7 linked regions of the Canis lupus familiaris genome follow. The main gene of each other region encodes a partner of the protein of the gene in region 5 in a complex. Links are inferred from orthologs where the notes say so. Each region holds a gene or a part of one and is shown on either strand. Other genes may lie near its edges.

The links.
Region 1: MED7 (region 5) and MED13 share a complex: the UniProt entries of both Homo sapiens proteins name them as parts of the mediator complex. The link is inferred for Canis lupus familiaris from reciprocal best matches to the Homo sapiens genes MED7 and MED13.
Region 2: MED7 (region 5) and MED23 share a complex: the UniProt entries of both Homo sapiens proteins name them as parts of the mediator complex. The link is inferred for Canis lupus familiaris from reciprocal best matches to the Homo sapiens genes MED7 and MED23.
Region 3: MED7 (region 5) and MED13L share a complex: the UniProt entries of both Homo sapiens proteins name them as parts of the mediator complex. The link is inferred for Canis lupus familiaris from reciprocal best matches to the Homo sapiens genes MED7 and MED13L.
Region 4: MED7 (region 5) and CCNC share a complex: the UniProt entries of both Homo sapiens proteins name them as parts of the mediator complex. The link is inferred for Canis lupus familiaris from reciprocal best matches to the Homo sapiens genes MED7 and CCNC.
Region 6: MED7 (region 5) and MED8 share a complex: the UniProt entries of both Homo sapiens proteins name them as parts of the mediator complex. The link is inferred for Canis lupus familiaris from reciprocal best matches to the Homo sapiens genes MED7 and MED8.
Region 7: the proteins of MED7 (region 5) and MED21 are in contact, whole or in part, in a cryo-EM structure (PDB 7EMF), measured with the Homo sapiens proteins. The link is inferred for Canis lupus familiaris from reciprocal best matches to the Homo sapiens genes MED7 and MED21. Residues at the interface, in NP_001094286.1 of Homo sapiens: Phe72, Asp73, His74, Lys75, Leu78, Arg79, Asn82, Ile85, Leu86, Phe89, Leu92, Leu93, Leu96, Phe116, Val119, His120, Ile123, Asn124, Tyr126, Arg127, His129, Gln130, Arg132, Glu133, Leu135, Arg136, Met139, Glu140, Gln142, Lys143; in NP_004255.2 of Homo sapiens: Asp3, Leu5, Thr6, Leu8, Gln9, Val12, Asn13, Leu15, Ala16, Phe19, Ile23, Ile62, Ala66, Ile69, Asp70, Ile73, Asp74, Leu76, Pro77, Ser78, Glu79, Ser81, Ala83, Gln86, Ser89, Leu90, Leu93, Glu96, Asn97, His98.

The regions. Positions count from the first base shown.
Region 1 is NC_049230.1:34,684,474-34,687,973, forward strand, and holds part of MED13 (mediator of RNA polymerase II transcription subunit 13), read left to right. Parts: intron 1-691; coding exon 692-915; intron 916-3,033; coding exon 3,034-3,223; intron 3,224-3,500. UniProt on the Homo sapiens protein: Component of the Mediator complex, a coactivator involved in the regulated transcription of nearly all RNA polymerase II-dependent genes.
Region 2 is NC_049233.1:336,264-340,363, reverse strand, and holds the start of MED23 (mediator of RNA polymerase II transcription subunit 23), read right to left. Parts: upstream 2,801-4,100; 5' UTR 2,694-2,800; coding exon of another isoform or gene 2,589-2,693; coding exon 2,541-2,588; coding exon of another isoform or gene 2,407-2,540; exon of another isoform or gene 2,404-2,406; intron 2,192-2,403; coding exon 2,160-2,191; intron 1,991-2,159; coding exon 1,903-1,990; intron 1-1,902. Other genes in the region: ENPP3 (ectonucleotide pyrophosphatase/phosphodiesterase family member 3), read left to right, coding at 2,407-2,693. UniProt on the Homo sapiens protein: Required for transcriptional activation subsequent to the assembly of the pre-initiation complex. Component of the Mediator complex, a coactivator involved in the regulated transcription of nearly all RNA polymerase II-dependent genes.
Region 3 is NC_049247.1:13,104,998-13,107,898, forward strand, and holds part of MED13L (mediator of RNA polymerase II transcription subunit 13-like), read right to left. Parts: intron 1,634-2,901; coding exon 1,521-1,633; intron 954-1,520; coding exon 918-953; intron 500-917; coding exon 367-499; 3' UTR 1-366. UniProt on the Homo sapiens protein: Component of the Mediator complex, a coactivator involved in the regulated transcription of nearly all RNA polymerase II-dependent genes.
Region 4 is NC_049233.1:58,025,967-58,029,466, reverse strand, and holds part of CCNC (cyclin-C), read left to right. Parts: intron 1-327; coding exon 328-412; intron 413-579; coding exon 580-649; intron 650-3,500. UniProt on the Homo sapiens protein: Component of the Mediator complex, a coactivator involved in regulated gene transcription of nearly all RNA polymerase II-dependent genes.
Region 5 is NC_049225.1:53,884,272-53,888,324, forward strand, and holds the start of MED7 (mediator of RNA polymerase II transcription subunit 7), read left to right. Parts: upstream 1-1,253; 5' UTR 1,254-1,320; intron 1,321-4,053. UniProt on the Homo sapiens protein: Component of the Mediator complex, a coactivator involved in the regulated transcription of nearly all RNA polymerase II-dependent genes.
Region 6 is NC_049236.1:16,881,159-16,885,200, reverse strand, and holds the start of MED8 (mediator of RNA polymerase II transcription subunit 8), read right to left. Parts: upstream 2,801-4,042; 5' UTR 2,748-2,800; coding exon 2,742-2,747; intron 1,229-2,741; coding exon 1,110-1,228; intron 187-1,109; coding exon 42-186; intron 1-41. Other genes in the region: KICSTOR complex protein SZT2, read left to right, coding at 3,011-3,037. UniProt on the Homo sapiens protein: Component of the Mediator complex, a coactivator involved in the regulated transcription of nearly all RNA polymerase II-dependent genes.
Region 7 is NC_049248.1:25,930,815-25,934,781, forward strand, and holds the start of MED21 (mediator of RNA polymerase II transcription subunit 21), read left to right. Parts: upstream 1-1,167; 5' UTR 1,168-1,186; coding exon 1,187-1,228; intron 1,229-3,967. UniProt on the Homo sapiens protein: Component of the Mediator complex, a coactivator involved in the regulated transcription of nearly all RNA polymerase II-dependent genes.

The sequences.
Region 1 (3,500 bases), on a different chromosome or scaffold from region 5:
AATAAAACTCCCCTCCTATGTTTTCTTTTGTACTAAGTTTTTTCATTCAACTTAATTTTTTTTTTTACAGCCATGTAAAGGTATAAGTCATATGTTCCATTAAGACCATTCATTTAGCAGGGCAGCCCCGGTGGCGCAGCAGTTTGGCGCCGCCTGCAGCCTGGGGCGTGATCCTGGAGTCCCGGGATCGAGTCCCACATTGGGCTCCCTGCATGGAGCCTGCTTCTCCCTCTGCCTGTGTCTCTGCCTCTCTCTCTGTGTGTGTCTATGAATAAATAAACAAAATCTTTAAAAAGAAAAGGCCATTTAGCAAATTGCTAACTGTGGAAAAGTCTCAATTATTGATTGGCTTTAGATATTTTTGTCTTTTTTTTTTAATTTAATTTTTTTTAATTTATTTATGATAGTCACACACACACACAGAGAGAGAGAGAGGCAGAGACACAGGCAGAAGGAGAAGCAGGCTCCATGTACCGGGAGCCCGACGTGGGATTCGATCCCGGGTCTTCAGGATCGCGCCCTGGGCCAAAGGCAGGCGCCAAACCTGCTGCGCCACCCAGGGATCCCGATATTTTTGTCTTGAATAAAATATTTTTAATAATAACGATTTCAGTAACTTTGACATTTAAATAAAAGGAAGACACGTAACTTTTCTTAAATGTTTTTCTTAAAATATGTTTTTCTTATTTAGGAACTGATGAATCCCCTGAACCACTGCCAATCCCTACGTTTTTGTTGGGTTATGATTATGATTTTCTGGTGCTTTCTCCATTTGCACTCCCCTATTGGGAGAGACTTATGCTGGAACCCTATGGATCTCAAAGAGATATAGCCTATGTTGTATTATGTCCAGAAAATGAAGCCTTGTTAAATGGAGCCAAAAGCTTTTTTAGAGACCTCACTGCAATATATGAGGTAGGTGTTTAAAAAGAGGTAGCATTCCTATAATTAAGTCTCTTATGGCATAGGAAAAACAGGGTCACCGGAGGGGAGGACGGTAGGGGGACTGGGTAACTGGGTGATGAACATTAAGGTGGGCATGTGATGTAATGAGCATTGGGTGTTATATAAGACTGATGAACCAATGACCTCTCCCTCTGAAACCAATAAAACATTATGTTAATTAATTGAATTTAAAGAAAATTTTATAAGAGTAGCATTCAGTTGGGAGTCTGCTTTTCCATTCTCCCTCTTCCCCTCCCCCTGGCTCATGCTCACTCACTCTCTTTCTCTCTCTCTTAAATAAATAAATAAAAATATTTAAGATATAAAAAGAGGTAGCTTTTTAAAACTATAATTTGTATGTTTATGTATGAAATATACTGGAAAGTTGAATTGATTGGGATGGGTAATAATGATGTGAAACTGGTTGTGTAGTTCTCATGCTAGCCAGTGGTGTTCTTCACAGCATTTGACCCGAACTGTTCATTAGGTGTGTGTGCCATGGTTCACAGTAGAAATTGCTATATTGAGGAAAAACCATTGAGGGCATATATATGCCACTTAGGATCTTTTTTTTTTTTTTTTAAACATCTTTTTTTTTTTGAAACGAAGAGTTGCATTGTTGAATAGCCAGGAAGAAAATTACACTTACAGAAATTCTAGTTCTGATTGTCTAGGGCCTCAGGTACTGACAATAGGCCTTGCTTTCATAAAGTAAGCCTGTGTTAGATTTCTCTGTGATCTGTATCATTTCTGAAATTCTTGATTGTTCTTTTTAATTCTTGACTGATCTTATAATTTTCATGTTGTGTCCATCACTGAGTGCAGTGATTACAGATTTTAAGTGGTACAGGACATCAAGTCTTAATTATACTTCCTTTCCCCATAAATGCTTAGAAATCAGTCTTTAAAATTTAATTTCTTCTATAGTCTGAGTTGTTAGTTTGTGCTAGTTTAGTTCCTAATAAGTGTTCCACTTAATTACAAGGTATCTGTAGTGTATTTTGTAGAAAGAAGTATTTTCCAAAGAGTGTTACTTGGAACATTGGTTCTGCAAAATCTTTCTGGAAAAAATTCCATAATTAATCAGATTTGGGGGAAATATTATGTATTATATTACTTTTTAAGAGATTTTCTATTCATACTAGTTTATTAAAACCTTTGAAAGTTTGTTGTTTTCTTTTTTAAGCCTTTGAAAATCTTAACAGTAAAGAAATCCTCTGTCCAGGGATGCCTGGCTGGCTCAGTCAGTGGAATGTCTCACTCTTGATCTCAAGATTGTGAGTTCGGGCCCCCACATTATGTGTGGAATGTACTTTAAAAAAAAAAAAATCCTCTGTCTAAATTTTTTAAATTTAGTGTTAGAAACTTGATATTGGGCTTCTTGTAACAAACATCAGTGGCCCACAGAATTGGAGGGAGAGCTGGCAATTACATAATATATTTATATACCAATTTTTATTTTGACTTGATTTGGATGTATGTACGTATTTATGTTCACTTATATCTGTATTCTTCAAGTCTTCATTATTCAAACCACATGGTTCTTAACCTGGATGTTTTATTTCATTAGTGATAGTTTAATTTTGAAAAAAAATTTAATGGATTTCTAATGTAAAAAGAAAAAGATAGGGAGCCTGGGTGCCTCAGCAGTTGAGCATCTGCCTTCAGCCCAGGGCGCGATCCTGGAGTCCTGGCATCAAGTCCCACATCGGGCTCCCTGCATGGAGCCTGCTTCTCTTGTGCCTATGTCTCTGCCTCTCTCTCTGTGTCTCATGAATAAATCAATAAAATCTTAAAAAAAAAAAAAAAAGGAAAAAGATGTACCTTTTCATTTGATATTTTTATCCCAAATATTAATAATAAATTATAAATCTTAATTTAAATAACTTAAATGCTTAGGGCACCTGGCTGGCTCAGTTGGTAGAACGTGCAACTCTTGATCTCAGGGTTGTGAGTTCAGCCCATGTTGGATTTAGAAATTACTTAGAAATATATCTTTTAAAAAAATAACTAAAATGCTTTATTTTATAGTGTATACTCAAATACTATAATAAAATCACTAATTCTGCTTTCTATGTATATCTGTAGTCCTGTCGATTAGGTCAACATAGACCTATTTCTCGACTGTTGACAGATGGAATCATGAGAGTTGGATCTACTGCATCAAAGAAACTATCAGAAAAGTTGGTAGCCGAATGGTTTTCTCAGGCAGCTGATGGTAACAATGAAGCATTTTCTAAACTCAAGCTTTATGCACAAGTCTGCAGATATGACCTAGGTATTAAATTTGTATTTCTTTTATAAGACCAATGGTAGCAAAGTATAGCTCAAGGTATCTGTTGTTTTTGTAAATAAAACTTTACTGGAACCCAGCCCTGTTCATATATTTCTTACTGTCTGTTGCTGCTTTTGTGCTACAATATCAGAACAATCGTTGAGACAGAGATGATGTGGCCCAGAAAACCCAAAATATTTACTGACTCTCAACAGAAAAAGTTTGCTGATCCCTAAAATAGGAATCCCATCAGATAAGAAATTTGGGGTATAAAAAATTG
Region 2 (4,100 bases), on a different chromosome or scaffold from region 5:
AGATCTATTTTTTTTCTGGCTCCTCTATTAGAATACAAATTTCTGAAAAACAAGGGTCATCCTTAATTCATAAATTGTTTAACGAATTATTAAAATATGCTGAAAGCATGTTCAACACCAAAGAAGTACAAAACAAACCATAATGAGATAGAATTTCTCATTTTAGATCAGCAAACATCAAAAAAATTTATTAACAACCTACTGTGAGGCCCTAGGGAACAGATACTTTTACACATTCCTAGAGGAGTACAAATTGGTATAACTCTTATGGAAAGCTATCAGGAAATTTCTATAAAAATTTTAAGTAGACATACCCTCTAACCCAGCAATACTACTTCCAGGAATTTATTCAGTGTCCTGTGCACAATATTGTCCATTGTAGTATTGTTTAAAGTGGAGTAGTTAAGAAGTAACCTAAATAACCTAAACTGGAGTAGTTAAGAAAAACCAGGGGACTGGTTAAAGGAAGGTGCAATCATATAATAGATTATGTTGCTGTAAAAAAGAAAGGCAGAAATAACGTTCAATGGATTGACGTGGAATTATTTTCAGATTTTAATAGTAAGAGGAAAAGGGCTAATGAACAGTGAACACATTATGTGAATGTTCTATAAAAGTTGATCCTATATGTGTAAAATACCTCCAGAAGGCAACAAACTGAGAATACCAGCTACTGATACGAAAAAGAGCAGGTGTAAGCTAAGAGAGATGGAAGGCAGACTATTCATTGGGTCCCCTTTTTGGTACTTTTTGCATTTGGAGCCATATGAATAGATTACCTATTCGAAGACAATTAAAACAAGATTTAAGGGACGCCTGGGTGGCTCAGTGGTGGAGCATGTGCCTTTGGCTCAGGGCGTGATCCCAGAGTTCTGGGATGTAGTTCTCCAACGGGCTCCCTGCACGGAGCCTGCTTCTCCCTCTGCCTGTGTCTCTGCCTCCCTCTCTCTCTCTGCGTCTCTCATGAATAAATAAACAAAATCTTATATAAAAAAAACAAAACCCACAAGATTTATGCCTATGTAACCCCATGTTTGGGAAGTAAGTCTTACCACCAGTGGTCAAATATAAACAGTTCTCATTTTCCTACCAATAATGCAGCATCAGAAGATAATACATTCCTGGAACACCAGCTCTTTAAGGATCACACATTTTGTCTTTTTCATGGATACATTTTCTGGTGACTGTTCTTTGTTACTAAGTTCTACTGCTCCTTTCCTCATTTTTCTTAGAAGATCTGTGTATCTTTATTATAGTATCCTTATTGTGGCATCTTTGTTATCTTTACTATGGTATCTTTATTTATTTATTTTTTAAAGATTTTATTTATTTATTCATGAGAAACACACGGGCGGGGGGGGGGGGGGGGGCGGGGGCAGAGACACAGGCAAAGGGAGAAGCAGGCTCCACTCCGGGAGCCGGATGTGGAACTTGATCCTGGGTCCAGGATCACGCCCTGGGCGGAAGGCAGATGCTAAGCCACTGAGCCACCCAGGGATCCCCTTACTATGGTATCTTTAATCATAGCATCTCTGTATCAATGTTTTGCTAGTTCCTTCTGTTGAATAAATGAATGAAATTTGTATCTTTTACAATTGCTACCAGAGCTGTTTCCACATGTACCAAATAAATCAGAGTAGGATGAAGTGTTTTATATAATCTAACATGGGGGAGATTTTTATAGGTGTCTCACAATGTGCCATCATCAGTTTGATTTCTTAATACTGGTTCTCCACTGGAAGAATACAAAATGAAACAAATGGAAACCAGAATACACATATAACAAATGATGACACTAATGTCTCCCTTTCCAAAAGAACCTTAGCAGCAACATCAAAGTAGTGTAAAAAAGGAGGCATCAAAAATCATGACCTGGATGTAGTAAAAAAATGCAGTGCTCACCTGAGAAAGACCACCCCAAAACTGTCTGAAGGCTCCCAGACAGCTAATTAGTTTTGTCTTTTCATCTTCAGGGGTGTCCATGAACATTCTAAAAAGCAAAAATCACAGATTTGCTACTAGTTCTTGAGGGGGAATTAATTCAACATAACCAGAATCTTACAGATCTCGCGTGCCTCCAAGGCAAACCTGAGTCACATCTTCCAAAGACACTCAAGTAAAAACACAAAAATCTGCCATGCATATACGTATACACTCACCCAGGAAAAGCCTCTTCTATAATTTCCGTTTTCTGTAAAAAAAGAAAAATAAGCGGTGTAAAAAAGTAAAAAAAATAAAAATAAAAAAAGGGGGGGACGCCCCTAAGACGACATTACAGTGTAACACAGGACAAGTCACCTTGACCCGCCACACGCACAAAATACCCCCGCCCCCCCCCCCCCCCCCCCCCGGCCGGGCCTGTCACAAAGGGTGCTGGGGATTTCAGTGCAGACTGAATCTGACAGCATGCTGGGACGCGCTAGACCCCTGCAGACGTACGAGAGGCCACAACAGGAGAGGTGGGGGGCGCTGGCCGGGGCGGCTGCTGGGTGCCCCTCCCTCCCCCAGACGCCGCCCCGGCGCCCGGCGGCTCCACTCACCACCACATCCTCAAAAATGCTCTGCAGTTGCGTCTCCATCTGCACCATCGCCCCGGCTCGTCCTGGACGCTGGGCGCGCGGCCCGGTGAGGCCCAAGCTCCGGGAATTGACCGGCCGAGGGGCGGAAGCCCGCAAGAAACTTCAGCTGGCGGGGTAAGCTTTCTTTTCTCTGAAGCGCTCGGCCGAGTGGACCCCCGTCCCCGTCCAGCAAACCGCGGCGCTTGCACGGAAGCTGGGAAGCGTCGGGTGCGTGTGGATTAGCAACCCTGCGGAAACCAGGCCCCCAGCTAGTTGGTTCCGCCGGGGGAGAAGGGCGGCCAGCCGAGCCAGACGAGACTGCCACCAAGTGGAGCCTTGACCCCAAGTCACCCTGAGGCGTCGTCGGCTGCAGGCCGCCACCTCCCGGCTGGAACGGGAGTTCCTTCCTGCTCCAGGCTGATGCTTCTGCCTACTGGCAAGGAAAGAAGCTTGAAGCCCGGGGAATGGCAGCCAGGGAGAAGGGCTCCACCTGCAACCTAGGTCAACCTGTTGTCTGTGAGAGCTGCTGATCTTCTGGAGCCAAGAGTCGAAACCACACTTTTCTTGACGACAGGGACCGTGTCTTCTCAAGTATGGTAACCCCAGTGCCTTGCACAGTGCCTGACACATAGCAAGCTTTTAACATAAAGGTCGGGGGGTAAAAAAAAATGAATGCATTATTACTGAATTTTAATTAGAATAATAAAATAATTATGTCTGCCGTTTTAGTTATAATCATCTAAAATAATATTTATCAATTTCTGAATACCTAGAGCTTCTTTGGTGAGGGTAGAAGTGGAGAAACCTTGGTAGATAGGAAGGCTGATCCATCTGCAGTGTCAGAGCCGTGGCTAAGTGCGCTGTGGGGTGTGCCCCTCCACCGCTGTGTTCTTCCAAGCACTAGTTTGACTCTTTCCTGGATGCCTGCCCTCCTCGCTCAAGCTGATGTAGGGTCTCTTCTTTATCCTCATGTAACACCTTTGTGCATAAGTAGTACAGTACTTCATTTATGAAATATTTGTTCACTCTTTGCTCAGCACTAGCCACAATATTAGGTATACTTAATGAACCATATTGCAGGAATCAATTTTGTAGGATGTCCAAGCTAGAAGGATGACAGGGCCAGAATTATTAAAATCTAAGCAGCGTAACAATCTATTATTCTTTTTTGTATGCTAAACATATTATCTTATTTTGGACTATCTTTAGTCAGGTAGACTTGTAAGAGTTTTCAGTTGGCAGATTTCCATGCTTCCACTCTGTTTCCTCTCTCTCTCTCTCTATATATATATATAGACTCAATATGATTTACATAGCAATTATCCCCAGATTACTCTATAGATTAAATTTAATCCCAATAAAAATTCCAGCATTTTTTGGTCAAATAGACAAGCTGATTCTAAAATTTATATGGAGCACTTGATGGGATGAGCACTGGGTGTTATTCTGTATGTTGGCAAATTGAACACCAATAAAAAGTAAATGTATTATTAAAAAATACATAAATAAAATTTATATGGAAATACAAAGGATTTAGAATAG
Region 3 (2,901 bases), on a different chromosome or scaffold from region 5:
CAGAGACTGGAAACACAGACTCTTGTGCAAAAGGATACTGTCTCTTCTGTTTCCCTCTTAAAAACCACCACCACCACCACCAACAAACTTCCTGCGGACCAGTGGTTTGGGGCTGCACACACCATAACACTGGCTAAAAGTCACTGCTTATGGAAGTTTCCGGGTCCATGAGAGAAGTATCAATGAATCCCTCTGGGAATGAACACTGCAGAAATGACCTGTGCCTGCTGAGGAGTAATCACAGTGCAGGACTGTGGAGAGTGGTCTCAAGAAGAGGATGTGGGGCATTTGCAGAGTGTAGCAGGCTCCTTGGGCTGAGGCTGCAGGGAGGAGGAACCGAGCCAGAGAGAACAAGTGCTTTTCCAATTAAAGTATATTCATGATGGCATTGTACAACTGAGTGAGCACCACAAAGTGGACGGGAAGGCAGGAGGTACGGTCCTGGGTAGCCGGATTGCACGTGAGCCAGGATAGAGCGTTGTACTGCTCCAAAACAAACCTGCCGGAGAGAAGAGACAGGTCAGGGGCACGAAGCACAGCAGAGGCAAGGCTGGTTCTATACGTCAACATTCCAGGAGTTGGCAGGGAGGGCCTGTGTCATTCTTTCACTTGTCTCAGGTTTCCCTGTGGCACTTTTCTCACACATCCGCTTTGCCTAGCCCTGCATTACTGGCCACAAATGGAATCACATATGCTATCATATAAAAACAGGATTTCAAGGAATTCATATTAAAAAACAAAACATGTGAAATAGTTCATGAATATTTTTATGTTAACTACTGAAATGATACTGTTTTTCATATACTTGATATTATTCTGATATACTTTTGGTATAATTGATACATTTTAACTTCACCAATTTATTTTACTATTTTAATGTTGCTACTAAAAAAATTTTCATTAGAAATGTAGCTTACATTGTATTTCTCTTGGACGGTGCTGCACTAGAGACCCTGAAAGCCAAAATCATGTTGATCAGGTTCTTGCTTAACTATAATTTCCAAATCATTTTAGAGTTAGTAAACACTAGAAAAAGCTGGCATTTCCTCAAGGTACTTGAAGAATGTTTGTGGCCCGCTACAGTGCAAGAGAATTACTGCATCCTTCTGGAAGATACTTCCTAACTATGGAATTTATGTTCTAGTTAATTTTATTTATATAACTTATGTCAGAAGAAGTAAAAAAGATGCTTTCAAAACCAAGCGCTTGAACTTTTAGGCTCTGTCTTCTAACCATCCACCCCCTATTCTGATCTATTTTCATCACCATAAAATGCCTCCTTTAAATAGGAAGCAAGGACAATTGTACTGCACATACCTATCCCATTTAACAAAGTATACTATACTCTCTGTCCAGTGCTCATATGGGGGGACTGCAACTCTCAGCGGCTAATCAGACAGTGCTCCACAGCACAAAAGGTAGCACCTTTTCTGCATTTTAATTAAATACACCTTGGAAAAACAAAAGTGAAGGAGGATTATTTCACACTGTACTGCTATGTTGCCTATGTCTGTATCTACCTTAAAACATCAGATGTGGTTTTGGAGTCAAGAGGATGTGGAACCCGCTGAGAATTCCTGGCAGGGAGAAGTTCATCCGTCTGTGCTACAGAAATGTGGTGATGCAGTGAAGCCTGGTAAAAGAACAGAGACAGTTACCTTTCTGACAACCTCAACCATGGGGCAGAAAAAAGGAAGACCAATGTATGCTAGTTGCAGACGCCCTCTGGAGTCTTTAGAAGCCACAGCCTCCAGAAGCCTTAATTTTAGGCTCTCAGTAACTCCAATGTGATCCCAAATAACTCCATATCCTAGAGTTGGAAAAAAGCTAGCTTTGCAAATATAAATGCGTTTCAAATGATTCAAAGACCTGCCTCTTGAAGTCCTAATCTCTAGAAGGCCTCAGGGTCTGGATATGGCTAACTGTCCCCTTGTGGTGGGGTTAATACATTCTCTCCTGACTTCTTCTGTAAATCCATAGATTTAGAGGCTCTAACTGGTTCAGTTTCTTTCTAGATGGAGGGGATAAGGGTGCAAGAATACTGCTTAACTGGTGCTATGTCCTTCTTATTGCATCACATCAAAAGGCAACTAATGTCTATTGTCCCACTTGAAGTAGGATTGATCACCGTGTTCAGCAGGTTACCAGCATGCTCCATTTAATAAGTTCCCCATCACTTTTTCACCTAATTTTTACTTTATTAAATAACTGAGAAATATAGTATGTGAGAGTTAATATAAATGCTTCTTTATTTTTTAGTTTTCGACTTAGTAAGCTGCTGTTCTAGTAGTTTCAAAAGGTGACTGAGAAAATGTTCTGGTTTTCAGCACAATTATGAACCCATGTATTTGTTTCATTCTCCTGCTACCACTGTTCTTTATGTTCAAACTGTCCCATCCTTGGGCAATGAGAACCCTCCAGCTGGCTCCTGGGTCCTTTGAAGTAACTCTAATTATCTTAAGTAATTTCCTTGCTTTTCAGTGGGACAACATAGCAAAGGTTCATCCTGAATATTTCTTACTTCAGACCTATAATCAGTCATTTATTCCAAGGGACTCTGGTTCTTTTAAATGATAAATGGTATTTCAGAACCAGAACTGTAGCAAGAGAGTTGTTTATGGATACTATGCTGTCACTGCTCCTAAGTTTTGCAGTAGACCGAGCTAAAAAAAAAAAAAAAAAAAAAGTGTACACCTTTCTTAAGAGGGAAAAATAAATCTAGGTTCATCCTGACAAGTCTAATTTGAAATAAAGATGACGTGGATTTTATATAACTTCCTTGATTTCACAATATGTCATAGCCATTAGTTAAAGAAAATTGCTTCAACTGTTTCTGGTCCAACCCTTCCACTGTTTCTTTTTGAAAACAGAGCAGGCCTGTGTGTGTGTGTGTGCGCGCGC
Region 4 (3,500 bases), on a different chromosome or scaffold from region 5:
TGAAAAAAAAAAAAAGAAAAACACTGAAAATACTTAGAAGATAGAGGGAAATACCTATCATTCAATCTTCTTAATATAAGAATAGTGTTTGCTTTGGGGACAGTTTCTATTTTTTATTGTTGTTTATGCATACTTATATTCTTTTAACAGATTTGCAAATCCTAGTCCTAACCCAGTGTGATCCAAGTAGAGCTTTAAACCATATGTAGGTTTTTCTCTTTGTTAAAAATTAATATAGTTATGATTTACCACATGAAAGTTATTGTTCAATGTTAATATCATAATGATAACAAAAGAACATTTAAAACTTTATTATTTTTCTTTTAGTTATTCAGGCATTAGGTGAACATCTTAAATTAAGACAACAAGTTATTGCCACTGCTACGGTCTATTTCAAGAGATTCTATGCCAGGTAGGACTTTTATTTTGAGATTATGTTACGCCTGTTTGAAACACTTAACGTAATGTTGATGAACCTTAGTATAAATAAATGAATCATGTGCTTGCATTGAGTTATCTTGGTTTTTCCGAATGTCTTCTATATGAATGACATTTAACTTTGTTTTCATCATATTTTAGGTATTCTCTGAAAAGTATAGATCCTGTATTAATGGCTCCTACATGTGTGTTTTTGGCATCCAAAGTAGAGGTATGAAATAGTTTTCTGTTCTTCATTGAAGTATACACAATGCACATTGGTTAATCTGCCCTAGTTTTCATATTACCTGTATAAAAATAATGACAGATGGAGATTTTTTTTATGCAAAGTATTGAAATTCATACAAAATCAAAGATATACGTCTTTATACATTCATTTAACAAACACTTATGTAGCATTTACTTAGTAAATTTGTAAATACTACTTATGTAAATGTAAGTGCTATTCTAAGTCCTTTTAAACTATAACTGACTCATAATATCCTTATAACAAACAATGGGGTGTATGCTAGTAATATCTTCATTCCATAAAGGAGGAAACTGAGTTACATAGAGAGTAAGAAACTTGCCTAAATTCATAGAGCTGGTAAGTGGCAGAGCCAGTATTTTGAACCCTGGGAGTCTGGCTACTAATTGCATGCTTTTAACTGCTTTGTTCTAGGTTCTCTAAGACATTTACTGTTTGGCACTAAGTAGTATTCCATAAGTGCCACAGCTTCTTTACTATAACCTGTATTATAGTACCTCCTCCCATGTGCCTCCTTCTCACCATATGCTTCCTATGTCTTACTGTCTTCCCTCCCTGCCACCTGATAATGGCTGCCTTCCAAACCATAGAGAAAGCAGGAGGGAAAGCAAGGATGAGTGTGGCTCTAGTCATATAGATTCCAATGAGGAATTATTAGGGCAGTGAGGGTAGAGAAATTAAGTGAGGGAAAGGGAAGAGAGATGGGAACTTGGAGCTGAGACCCAATCTCTGCTCACCTTATTTTCTTTTTCGGTAATTTTGAGAGAGCACAGCTAAAATCCAGACAGTAATAGGATATATAGACTGATTTTCATCATAATATTTGCATTCTTAATGTTATGAAACCTTTGTATTATGTTTCTTAGATGTCTTTAGAATCATAATTGTATTCTTGAAAAATAAATGTAATTTAGACCTAGTAGGTTTATAATTCCTTTTGGCACTCAATTTTTATTTAGTTTTGCTCTAGTCATTATTTAGGATTATTTAAGGCATGTTTTCCAAATATTACCTAAAGTAATGAGAGTTGACTCTATTAGGAAATAATATTAAGACAGACTTTCTAGAGGTTTATGATTTTCTAATTACAAGTGGTATTTTAAAGGGAGAGAACCAGCCCTGTTGTTGTTACTAAGTTCTTTAGTGGGAAAAGAAAGTGTTTATAAAAGGTCATATTATGGGGTGGTTTTTCCAAATATTACCATGTCATTTGATGTATTATGAAGCACAACCAGTATGGAAAATCTAGACAAAATCTTTTATTATTATTTTTTAGACAAAATCTTTTAATAAATTTCTACTCTAGAAAATTAACTTGGGTATTTTAATTTGTTTAGTTTGTTAAATATCTTTTGTTATATGATTTAGTGAGTGAAAGTTTTCACTTTAAGAATTTTGGATAAAGGGAAGCCCGGGTGGCTCAGCGGTTTAGCGCCACCTTCTGCCCAGGGCATGATCTTGGAGTCCCAGGATTGGGATCAAGTCCCACTTCAGGCTCCCTGAATGGAACCTGCTTCTCCTTCTGCCTGTGTCTCTACCTCTGTCTTTCTGTGTGTCTCTCATGAATAAATAAAATCTTAAAAAAAAAAAAGAATTTTGGATAAAGAATAATTCCTGGGGGTGTATGCTAGTAATATCTTCATTTCTATTTATTTCAATAAATAAATGATATCTTTTTTTAAAAAAAAGAATAATTCCTGGATCTGGTTGCCTGGCTGGCTCAGTTGGTAAAGCATATGACTCTTGATCTCGGGGTCATGAATTTGAGCCCCACATTGGGTGTCCAGATTACTTTAAAAGAAAGAATTATTCCTGGAAAAAAGAGTATCCCTTCATATTTGGTTATAGCGTTATTTTTAAAATTTTAACTGTGACCAAATCTTTCTGTGTTTTGTCAAGTTGTATGGGAATTATGTAGAAATGACTTTTAAGATGTCTGAGGCATCTACTTTTTAGTTTCAGTTACTGTGGTTTCAGGTTTATTTATTTATTTTAAAAGATTTTATTTATTTATTCATGAGAGACAGAGAGAGGGGCAGAGACATAGGAGCCCCGCAAGGAGCCCGATGCCAGACTTGATCCTGGGACCTGGGGATCATGCCCTGAAGGCATGATGCTCAACGACTGAGCCACCCAGGCGTCCTGGTTAGTTAATCATATTAAATGAGACAATGTATATGAGGAAATGGGACCTGACAGAAGTCCTGGGACACCTGGGTGGCTCAGTTGGTTAAGTGTTGAACTCCTGATTTCGGCTCAGGTCAGGATCTCAGAGTTGTGGTATAGAGCCCTGCGTTGGGCTCACACTCATCACAGAGTCTGCTTAAGATTCTGTCCCTCTTCTTCGGCCCTTCCCCCCCACCCTCTATCCCCACTCACACTCTCAAAAAAGGAAAAAAAAAAACCTTGCTTTATGATAAGGCTGAAATTATTTTAAAAAAAAAATTGTATTATGGAGTGCCAGGGTGGCTCAGTCAGTTAAGCATTGGACTCTTGATCTCCGCTTAGGTCTTGGTCTCAGCATTGAGTTTAAGCCCCATGTTCAGCTGGGTGTACATGGAGCCTACTTTAAAAAAAAAAAAAAAAAAAGAGAGAAAAGTCTTATACTGTATCATTCTATTATTCTATCATTCTTGTCTTCTTCTTTCAAATAGAATAATAGATTCTGTGGTCTTTGGAATTCTTTTGGTGATAGTATAAGTTTATCTTTTGAGATTTAACTGCTTTATTACTAAATAGCATAAAGTACCTATTTGTTAGTCGAGGTTCAGTTGAATAGGAAGCATACTTAATATTTTTCTTGCCATTAAGTGTA
Region 5 (4,053 bases):
TGAGAATCAGAAGCTTAAACAATTGAGCCACCTAAGTGCCCTTGATTTTGATGAATTTAAATAATTACTATTTTATTTTATTTTTTTTAAAAAAGATTTTATTTATTCATGAAAGACAGAGAGACAGGCGGAGATGTAGGCAGAGAGACAAGCGGGCTCCATATCTGGAGCCTGTCGCAGGACTTGATCCCAGGACCCTGGGATCACAACTTGAACCAAAGGCAGACACGGAACCACTGAGCCACCCAGGCACCTCTACTAACTTATTTTTAAATGATATAACACCTGTATCCTTATGGGGGAAAATGAGAGTCCTATTTTGGACGTGTATATTAAAACGAAATAATGTCTAGATCTAATGGGTAGATATAGATTGAAGGTGGATAATGAGTACACTTTTTTTTTTAAAGATCTTATCTATTTGAGAGAGGAAGAGAGAGAGCAAGAGCAGTGTGAGGGGAGGGGGAGAAGCAGATTCCCTGCTGAGCAGGGAGCCCAAGTAGGGCTTGATGCCAGGACCCTGGGATCACGACCTGAGCTGAAGGCAGAGGCTTCACCCACTCAGCCACCTAGGCGCCCCTCTACTTTTGCATATACTCGGAATCTCGTTCTTTTCTAAAAAATGAAACCAAGTAATCTTATTTTAGAGGCAAAGTTGAAAACTTTTATCAGAATAACAATTTTCTTTTATGTCCAGTATGCTCTCGTCAGATTTCCACGAATTTATAAGTTTGTTACTTCTTCTGAAAATTACCTCCCAAAAACTTTGATACATTTTTTGTTACCTGGAAACATAGCTATGTTTCAATTCCTAAATGAAAATAAATATGAATGTGAAGAAATAGAAACTGAGAACGCTATGAATTCCCGATCTCGTTCATAAATATTTCCAGATTGAAAATAAATGTAATGCTATTTTGGACAGTAGGATTAGAGTCGATCTAATTTTTAAAAATCGGCTTATCTGCATTTTCTAATTTTCATGTAAGGCAAACGGATAAGTTAATCTCAGGTGTCAAAAAAAAAAAAAAGATAACAAAGGAGCGAAGCTACCAGTTGCAGCTTTTACTGATAGAAAGTACTAGCACAGACACCCCCACGCCCGAGGCCGCCGGCGACCCGACCGCCGAGGGCGCGGGGAGATACGCGCAGGCGCAGTAGCAAGGTTTTGGTTGGAGGCGGGACTAGAGCGGCGGCTAACATACAGTTCTCTCAGCCAATCAAGGGGCAGTGTCACGGGCTTCTTCCTGGAGGAGGTGGCCGGAAGTCGGCTTTCGGTTGCGGAGGCGAAGGCGGCTCCAGCGTCAAGCCTGGGCTGAGGTAAGTGGGCGGCGACGGCTTGCGGCTTCGTGCCGCGTGCGTCTCGCCTTCCGGACCCCGCGGCTCCCCCAGGGCCGGCTGGGAATGGGGGAAGCCTGGCGCGGACACGCTCCGTCACCTTCCTCTCCCACATCCCTCGGAGATGCGGCCTCGCTGCTGCTCGCGGGGAGCCGGGCGGAAGGTGCCGTCGGCGCGGCGCGCTCGGGGCTTCCTCCGTGGGGGAGCCCTGAGTTCCAGTCCCGCGCCGCGGGTGTGCTGAGCCGGGCGGACGTGGCGGGCCTCGGCCCCCGGGCCTTGCCCGCGCTCGTCGGGGATGGAGCCTGAGGTCGGCCGCGGTAGTGCGGGGTGCAGGAGGCCGCGATCCCAAGCCTGGTGGCCACGTCGAGGGGGAGGTGTTCGGGGGCGGGGCGGGACCCTGGAATGCCTTCCTGTCGGCTGAGCCCCACGGAAGGGGGGTCTGGGGTCCGGTCACCGGCCGTGACGCTTGGCGCCGGTTTCAGTGGAGACACCGCCTCGGAAGAGTTGGCCCCAGAGAAGCGGTGGAGGAATGAGCAGAATCGGTGCGACTCGTCAGGTTGCTTCCGTGGGCGAGCCTGCCCTGGGCCGCGGAAAGGAGCCGGGATGAGGAGCGTTGCCGTGGACTCGCTAGCCCCGACGCGGCGCAGGCGGCCCCTCCGAGACGCGGAGTCTTCCTCTCGCGAAGGAAGCTGACAGGCGTGTGAGGAAGACCGAGAGGCTTTTTTTTTTTTTTTAATTTTTTTTTTTTTTAAAGATTTTATTTATTTATTCATGAGAGACCCAGGCAGACGGAGAAGCAGGCTCCTTGCAGACGTGGGACTCGATCTCGGATCCCCGGATCCCGCCCTGAGCCACCCAGGCGTCCGCCGAGAGGCTTTAAAACGTGCCAGTCACGTGGGACTGGGAACCTGCACGTTGAATAGAGGAGTGCTTGTGGCTTGTGGCGTGGGGAGGCGCGGAACCGGGCGCCCAACTAAAAATGCTTGAGTGAGGCAGAGCCTGGGCTGTCTCTTACAGTCGCTTTTGAAGTAACCAGATCAATGCTAATTCTCTGATTTTGGTAGTAATCACATATAAACACTGTTTATCACCCCCACCTCCACCCCCCACTCCCCGCAAGCAGTTTTACCCCTTTTACTCGAGGGCCGCCTTATATTACAGAGAAATATTTTATCCACTCCTCATATTGATGAAGTCATGGATGATTTCCGGCTTTTCCTACTCTTTTCAAACCTCGCTGCATTAAACACCCTTGGTGCACATTTTTATGCACTTGTGACGTAGGACAGATGTTAGGGTTTGAAACCAACAGCCAAGAAAGAGTTCTTGAGACGTCTGTGGTGCAAAAAAGTGGTCTTTATAGAAGCATGAGAGGGCAAGACCCTTGGACAGAAAGAGCTGCCCTGGGAGAGTGCGACCTCTGCTGGCATCCAGCGCCTGTCGCATGGAAGGTGTTCTAATATTTGTTGAATGATGGAGTATTTGAAATCTCGATAGTCCGTTAGATGAAAAGTATTCTTTTTAAAACTTTGCTTTTAGAAGTATATTAGTCTGAATAATTTTCTGCTTTTATTCAGCATTTGCATTTCCCTTGTCTTTTTTTTTTTTTTTTTAAGATTTTATTTACTTGAGAGAGAGGGAGCTAGCCCAGCGTGGGGAAAGGCAGAGGGAGAAGGGAGAAGCAGATTCCCTGCTAAGCTGGGAGCCGGATGCGGGCTCAATCCCAGGACCCTGAGATCAGGACCTGAATCCATGACTTGAGCCAAAGGCAGAAGCTTAACCGACTGAACCACCCGAGCCCTCCTCCTTGTCCTCTTTTGTCTATTATTCTGTTTTAAAAAACGGAGGTTAAAAAAAAAAAAAAAACTCAATCAGTGGGCCTTTATTGAGGATCTTTTAGGTGTTGAGGTGCTGGAGATGGAGTTGTGTATTCGGCAGTTCCTGAAGTCCTAGTGCCCTCCTTCCGGTGGGAGTGGAGTCAGAAAATAAATTTTTGAAAAGTCAAAATAAAATTTCCAATATTTGCTCTGTTAGCTTGCAGGCATTTTTCTCCCAAAAGAATGGGATTGTCTTTTAATTTTGCTTATGATAATTTTCCTGTGTGGAATTTTTAGACTTATTTTTGGTAGAACTGTTGGCCTTCTGTAGGAGCCTTAAAACTTGGTAGTTATTTTTGTGTTTTTTTTGTTAGGTTGTAAGTGGCACTAAGATGGAAGCAATGTTTTTTTGTTTATCCTTGATAATGTAGAGTAGTGTTTAAGATACTATGGTTCTGAATCCTTCCTCTACTACTTAATCTGTGACTTTATGCAAGTGGTTCAACCTGAATGCTTTATGAGCCATCCAGGAGATCAGGCAGTTTGGATTAGAGCTAGAAAGTACAGAGTCATAAACACAGAACAGGGCTTCTCCACTTTGGCACAATATTTTGACATTTGGGGCTGGGATAATTCCTTTTTGGGGGCTGTCATACGCATTGTAAGTGTTCGGCAGCATCCCTAGCCTCTACCAGTTAGATGCCAGTAACACCCCATCCCCCAGTTGTGACAAGTAAAAATATCTCCAGACCTTGCCCTATGTTTCCTGGTGGGCAAAATTGCCCTTGGTTGAGAATGACTGGTAGAAATGGTGTTAAAAGCCAGGGAATTAACTAATAATCACCCAAGGGAGAATATAAAACAGAAGTCTAAAACTATTGGCCCACAGACCACAAAG
Region 6 (4,042 bases), on a different chromosome or scaffold from region 5:
AGAATTTAATTTCCCATGTTATGCCCTTCTTCTCTTCTTACCATGAGATCTTCATCACGGTCTGGAGACAGCACCAGGGGGATGATGACCTGGTTGCGGAACAGCGGTGTCTTTTCATGCTTCAAGACCTTGTTCAAAGTGTTCAACTGTCCAGAGAGCAAGGCGAAGCTGTCCAGGACAGACGGCCTGGTAGTGGTAAGAAGGTGTCACAATGTTCTCAGTAAAGTAGCCTCGAAGGGGTCTTTCAGACTAGGAATACCCAGGCTCACTCGAAAAAGACTCAGAGCACTACAGCTGGACTGGGCAGGAACCAGACTGGATCCCAGGGATTGTGGGGTTATGAAAACGGGACACGCTTTTAGTTTCTAACATGGATGGAGAAATAAGGCAGCTCATTATTTGAATGGGGTAAAAGACCAGTGGCAAAGTAAGAACCATGGCTATGCTTATCATTAAAAATTTATAAACTGAGCAAAAAGAGATCTTTCAGGCCTGAAAACAGGATCCACACTTCCAGAGTAGGTTGGACCTAAAAGACTCAGCAATATCTATCGTAAGAGACCCGAGATGAACGCTGTACTCTTACTATAGTGGGAGGACCCACTGACGGAGTACCTCCTCCCAAAGAAGTCAAGGGTGACAATCAAAAGCTAGAAAAAACTTGGGTTGGAAAACTGGGCATTTCTCTATTTCCGTGCCACAGTGGCCCTAAGACAAACTTCACTTGTTAAATGTTGGGAAACATAGATCTTTTCAAATTAAAAGATGTTTGCAGGACAGCACGGGTAGCTCGGTGGTTTAGCACCGCCTTCAGCCCAGGGCGTAATCCTGGAGACCCGAGATCGAGTTCCACGTCGGGCTCCCTGCAGGGAGCCTGCTTCTGCCTCTGCCTGTGTCTCTGCCTCTCTCTCATTCTGTGTCTCTCATGAATAAATAAATGAAATCTAAAAACAAAAAACAAAAAAACAAACTTGGAAATTTAAAAGAAAAAAAAATGTTTGCAAAGTGATAAATTGTGACATCCCTGGAGATGTCCTATCAATCAGGAGGCCTGCCCCCTCAACCCCCACCCCATGGAGCCCTCCTCAGCTTGCCCTGGCAACCCTTACCAGGTCAGCCGGTCATACTCGTTCTCCAACTTGTATATGAAACTCCCCAGTGAGTTCTTCAGATCAGCCACTTGACTCAGCAGTGCATCTAATGATGCCTCCAGCTGCTTCTCCTCCCTCTGCACCAATAGGAACAGGTTGGTTACCCAGATAGGTGTGGCTATGTCGTATACAGGGAAGGCTGAAAAGCCGGGATGACAGTATGCAAAACTAGTCAAGTAACCCAGGATCTCACTGGTGCAGGAAAGCCAGGCTGTTCTCTATCTTTGGTATTTGGGTTACAGACAGCATCAATTCTTAGACCTTTCAATCCATTTGCCTGACCTCAATTCCTCCTTTCCCTCATTGTCTGCTAATTCATGTCTGGCTTTCCTCTGTATTAGACACTCTCTCAGGGAAGCCCGCGTGGCTCAGCGGTTTAGTGCTGCCTTTGGCCCAGGGGCCGTGATCCTGGGGCCTCAGGATTGAGTCCCATGTCGGGCTCCCTGCATGGAGCCTGCTTCTCCCTCTGCCTGTGTCTCTCCCTCTCTGTGTCTGTCATGAATAAATAAATAAAATTAAAAAAAAAATAGAAACACTCTCACTGAGGCATTTTTTTCAGACATAATCCCTGGGCTTTATTAACTTTTGTGTGCCTCTGCAGTATTTTGTCTTTCTCTTGTCCTAGAACTTGCCTTGTGAGCCTGGAAGTTCTTGCCAGTCACATAATCTCCGGAAAACATACTCATGCTTGTGGAAACGAAGGAAACTAAGGTTTCCCTGAAACTTGTACCCCACGGCCCCTCCCCCACTCCTCATCTGCGTCAGCATTTGAAGTTTTCAAGCTTCTTCTTGCTGGATTAGTCGGCATTCGCTTTATCTCTGTGCCCTTCGCTTTATCTCTGTGCCCGTATTCCTGCGTCCCTTCCACAAGCTCACTCAGCCTGAAGACATTTACTGACAGCCAACCAGGTGCAAGAAAGTAAGTGGCAAGTGAAAAACAAAGACAAAACGCACATGCTCCTAGGCGCCAGAGACACAATTTTAAAATGCTGGGGTGTCTGCAGTTTCCTCCCGTCTGTGGTCTCCAGTTTTACTCCATTTCTTCATCCTCAACAACTAACAGGCTCAGGCTGGGAGAAATGATGCAGAGCTGTCTTGCAAACTCACCAAGGGGCATGAGGAGGGCCTGGATCCGGGGCTCCACTCACAGAGCCTCAGATTTTAAGTAGCTCGGCTCTGGGCCTCCCTCCCCTTCCCCCAATCCCTCGGGCTCCTCTGCAATTCCATCCAGATCCCTCACGTCTACATCCAACAGCTTGGGCAGGGGCCGGAGCCAACTTGCATTTTCTTGAGCTGCCTTCCTTGCATTGCATATCAACCGTCCCAGTTACCGTAGCCTGATCCCTCCGTGCACGCCAGCTAGTCCACGCAGCCTCCTTCCCCACGACAAGGCCCCAACCTCCCATCTCTTGCCAGGTGGGCCCCACCCCCACCGCTCCAGTCGTCCGCGCCCCCGCGGGCCCTTACCCGTCAGCTACGCGCTCTGCCCCTCCAGTCGGCCCCGACTCCTCACTCTCTCCTCGGCCAGCCCATTCTCAGTCCTGTCACCTGAAGCTAGCTAGCGGTTAACAGCCCCAAGCCCGCTCTCACCTGCATGGCGATGGCGGCGATGGCGGCTATAGCGGCGGCGGCGATGGCGAAGGCGGCGATGGCGGCGGCGGCGGCGGCGGCGGCGGCGGCTTCCGCTTCCGGTTTCCTAGTCGGCGATCCACTCTAGAGGCCTCGTCCCCCAATCAGAAAACTCAGGGAGAGCGCGGCCCGCCCACTCACTTCCGGTTCCGGCGGGTCTCCGGGAGCCGGGTCAAGGGTCAAGAGTGGAGCATCTTCTCTGGCCCGGGCCGGCGCGGGAGGGCTGTGTGATGGCCTCGGAGCGCCCGGAGCCGGAGGTGAGGGGCGGGCGGGCGCAACGCAGGGCGCTGGACCCCGGGCCCCGAGGAGGAGGCCTCCTCCCGGTTTGGGGGCGGCCGGGCCGCGTAGCCTGCGCAGGGACCGGCCCGGCCCCAAAGGCCCGACCACTGACTGAGCCTCCTCCCCGCGGCCCGCAGTGTCGTCGTGGGGGCGGCTAGAGCAGAAACCCGTCGCTTTGTTTTGTTTATTGAAATTTCAGACACGTCCCCGGCTCCAGGGCTCTCGGATTCTTCGGTCTTTAATATCGATGTTAACAAAACCTGAGGTTTGATTTTTCTACCGCAGTTTCCGTGGGCAACATGGCACTAGTACGTTGATGGTTTTTGCATTTCTGCAGGCATTGGAATGCCGTGAACAGCGTGAGTTAACTTAGTTGTAGCGCTTATGCACTTAGGGAGCAGCTTTGGTTTCGTGGGAAAAAAAAGAAAAGAAAAAACATTTGGCTCAGAGTGAAGTTTCGTCCCAGTATTGGTGTCGCCATTTAGCTGTCTGTGCAACTTTGGGCAAGTCTTGACTATCCCGATCCTGTTTCCTTCTTCATTAAGATACCTGCCTTACGGTGTGTTGTGAGGACCTTCTGCATTAAACCAGAAAATGCATATGAGCACCCATTAGGTGCTAATGAAAGGAACTTGTACGTACATGATGTTACTCAAACTTGTGCCAGGGAGGTGGCAATATCCATTTCTCATTTGCAGATAAGGAAACCCAAAAGTGAAGGTTAAGTACCTTACCCAAGTGCTGCTGAGCTGGGGAGTAGCAGAGTTTTGAAATTAGAAGATCTGAGCATAAAATCAGATTTGGAAAGAACATCACTAAAGGAAGTGCCCAGTATTCTAAGAGAATATATGAGTAGGTGGGAAGGGTGAAGGATGTGTATAGTGACATAAATAGTAGTTATTACTTAGTGAATGCTTACTGCATGCCAGGCACCATTCTCGACACTGCAAATATCAGTTAGTGCTCTCATCCCTAGATGCTTT
Region 7 (3,967 bases), on a different chromosome or scaffold from region 5:
CAGCCAGGTGCTCCAGATACCAAGTTCCTATTATCTTCCTTCACACTAAATCCTCAATAGGTCTCACGGCTAAGTATAAATTGCACACCTTATCTGTTTAAAAATTGTCCCTGCCCTTACCTACACATAAGGCTCATTTTCCAGGAACCTCCTCCACTCTCCTCTCCACCAACCTTCTTCTGTTCTTTCTACTGAGTTCCTCGCTGTCAGAGGAGCGAGATTTTTATTAGTTAACTGCACTCACACCTTACCTCTGAACTCCAGATGCCACTCTTCTGCTACTCACTTTGCCTATAGAAACCTTCCTTTTCCAACTTTTTTTTTTTTTTAAGATTTTATTTATTTATTAGAGAGAGGCAGAGACACAGGTAGAGGGAAGAAGCAGGCTCCACGCAGCAAGCCCGACGTAGGACTCGATCCCGGGTCTCCAAGATCACGCCCCGGGCTGAAGGCGGCGCTAAGCCACTGAGCCACCCAGGCTGCCCCCAACCATTTTCTTCTTACGCGGTCAATACAGCTCGATTTAGTGCTTAGTTGTTTTGGACGCTTTCCATCCCATGTGTGTCAGCTTCCCCAGCACACCCACATTCAGAATTAAAGCACGCACCCAGTCTTCACCTGGGTGGCCCATCACCCCCTCCACCCCCACCCCCCCAGAGGAGACACCCTAACACAGCCAAGATTGCCTGGTGAATTTTAATTTGGATTTGTTGAAGTTAAAATCGGGATCGCGACCCCCAAGTATTCCTGAGTTGGTTGCTGTGTATATATTTGGTGATCCACCTGGAAATCCAAAGTAACGTAAGTATTCAAGGCAATGTTTAAAAACGAATATACACGGGAAGATGGGGAAAATCACTTCTAAAAACTGCAGCATCTAACCATCTCCGTAAAATTGTCTACCACCCGAAAACCTCGAGAACGAGTCTGCTGGACCCAAAACGAAGGAACTCGGAACCCCCACCCCAAAGTCACTCAAAATAACCTCCGCGAGGCGCCTTCGCGGGCGGAGCTGCCCGAAACACAGCCTCGCAAAAGTCCCACCCGCGCTCTACTCGCCGGGCGCGGAGGGCCGCTGACTCCACCCCCTCCGAGAACGCTGGCCTGTGATTGGCTACGACGCTTCCTGAAGCCGCCCAATAGCGAGCGAGCAGCTGCTTTAGCCTCCGGAGCTTGCAGGAGGAACATGGCGGACCGGCTCACACAGCTGCAGGACGCGGTGAACTCGGTGAGCGATTTTGCTCTGTTGGTCTCTGTCTTCCCCTTTCTTAAGGTAAAACGAGGGCAAAGGGCCCCGGGAAAAACACACGAAAGTGGGGAGCGGACTGGGGCAGGGCTTCCGCAGAAAGCGCTGGCGGCGGCGGGAGGCGGCGCGGCGTCCTGGGAGGTTTGAGGCCGGCTGCCGGCTTCGCGGAGAGCTGAGGGAGCAGCAGCCTCTTTCACCGGAAAAGTAGGGGGTCTCTCTGTCAGGACACTTAGGCGTCACGGTCCTGTCCTGTTCTCTGGGAACAGTTTTATTTTACTGCCAGTCGTACTTCTGGGCTCACTTCTCTTTCGGGGGTAAGGGGGAAAGCGGCAGAAGCTCCTTGTTTCCCTTATCAGTGTTAAGCCGCGAAGGAGAAACTGTGCTCCTGACGATTGGATATTTTTTTGTTAAATGTCAGCCGAGAGTATTCCTGCGTCAGGACTTTGCAGGTTGAGCCTGGAGTGATGGTGAGGTGAGAAATTCTGTTTCCTCTTCGTTGGTTCCCAGAGACAAAGGGTCTCGTTCCCATCTCTTGGCGCTCCCTGGCATCAATCAGTTTGGGGAAAACTGACATCTTTAGGAGAGTGAATCTTCTAATCCTTGCGTATGTTCCCATTTATTTAAGTCTTTAATGTGTCGCAAAAAGTCTACTTTCTGTTAAGGGTCAGATCTTGTAAGCCGACCCCCTTACTTTGATCCTTATTATTTTTTTCCTGTTATGCCTGACTGGAAAGTACATGCGAACCAGAGGATTCATGTGCTCATGACCATAAAGAGTTCAACAGTTTGCCATTAGTTATATTTCTCATTGTCAATCTGTTTTTTTTTTTTTTTAAGGTTTTATTTATTCATGAGAAAGAGAAGTACAATCCATGCAAGGGAGCCCGACGCGGGACTCGATCTGGGGTCTCCAGGATCACACCCTGGGCCGAAGGCGGCGCTAAACCGCTGAGCCACCCGGGCCTGCCAATCTGTTTATAATTTGATATCCCAGGTCAAATGTCTTTAGAGAGAGAATATGTTGACTGGAAAATCGAAGTATCTGTTCCCTTGCCAGTTTTTTTCACACCGGAAGATAAGAAGTTAGGATTCTTGTTGCATCCATCTTTGTTCACTTCAAATGAGGGGGGAATCGACTTGTGAAAAACTGATTTACTCCGGGCGGCCCCGGGTGGCTTAGCGGTTTAGCGCCACCTTCAGCCCGGGGTGTGATCTGGAGACTCAGGATCGAGTCCCACCTCAGGCTCCCTGCATGGAGTGGGCTTGTGTCTGTGCCTCTCTCCCTCTCCCCCCCCCCCCCCCCCCCCCCCCGTCTCTCAATAAATAGTCTTAAAAAAAATAAAATAAAACTGACTTACTCCGTAAATAAAATAAGACCTTTTAGGACTGAGAGGGCTAGCCCCTAAAGGTTGATGAAGTCACTAAGATAAATTCTACTTTATGGTGACATGCGTGGGCTGCCAGCCAACTTCCTTCTGGGAGATATTACTTTGAGGCTCTTCAGAATCAAATTGTAACGATGCTGCTGGGCAGAAATGTTATTTTAGGAGAAATGTTGCATATTCATACATGTCTTGTAACCAGAGAGATAATAGGAGACAGTGAATATGGCCTTGACTCCAGGGTAAGCATGCTGATAATTGGATTTTGGAGAGAAATCTCTAGGTTAACTAGTGTGAATGCCTAATGTGTATGTAAGCACTCTCATGTTTACAGAAAAATACTCCTTGGGGAGTTTACAGTCTAATTGGAATGATGTCATATACTCAAGACATTTAAATAATTTAAAAGTAGGATTTGGTTAGGTGTTTATAATGAATCAAGCGCCTTCAAATGTAAGTGCTGAGGTAAATTGGAATAGAGAGTGATATGAACTGAGTAAAGGAAATCTTCTAAGCATTGATCTGAATTGTAATTATTTGTAAAATTATTAAAGTTATTTGTTTTACCCCCTGAGAACTCCATGAGGGCAGAAGCTGTGCCTTTGTTCATTGTTTCATTATAATGTTTATTACAATGCTTGTCATAGAGTTGATTTTTTTAATATTTATTGAATAAATGGATCTTGAGAGAGCTTTTGAAGAACACAACAGATAGCCACTGTGTTGAATATTTATGCTTGTGTGTTTTCTTTATTCCTCAGAACAGTGGTGTAATGTGAAAATGTTCCCAGTTTAAAAATTAAAAACTGTACTCAGGTTACTAGAACCAGAATTGGAATCCACATCTGTACAGCTTCTAAGCACTTAATACTGTGCCATTACAAGTAGCAAAACATGAGCAACACAGTATAGTCTGGAATGAATTTATCACTAGTTAGGTATATATGAAGGAATTAGTAGAAAATGAAGAAGTAGAGTTGACTTAGATTATCGAAAGCTTTGAAATAGCCTGAAGGGTTGGAGATTAATCTTAAAGGCCATGTTGGGGTGAGCTCAAATTTAAAAAAAAAATTTTTTTTTAAAGATTTATTTGAGGGCAGCCCAGATGGCTCAGCGGTTTAGTGCCGCCTTCAGCCCAGGGCGTGATCCTGGAGTTCCGGGATCGAGTCCTGCATTGGGCTCCCTGCATGGAGCCTGCTTCTCCCTCTGCCTGTGTCTCTGCCTCTCTCTGTCTCTCTCTTCTCTGTGTATTCTCATGAATAAATAAAATCTTTAAAAAAAAATAAAGATTTATTTGAGAGAGAGAGAATACAAGTGGGAGGGGCAAAGGGGGAGGGAG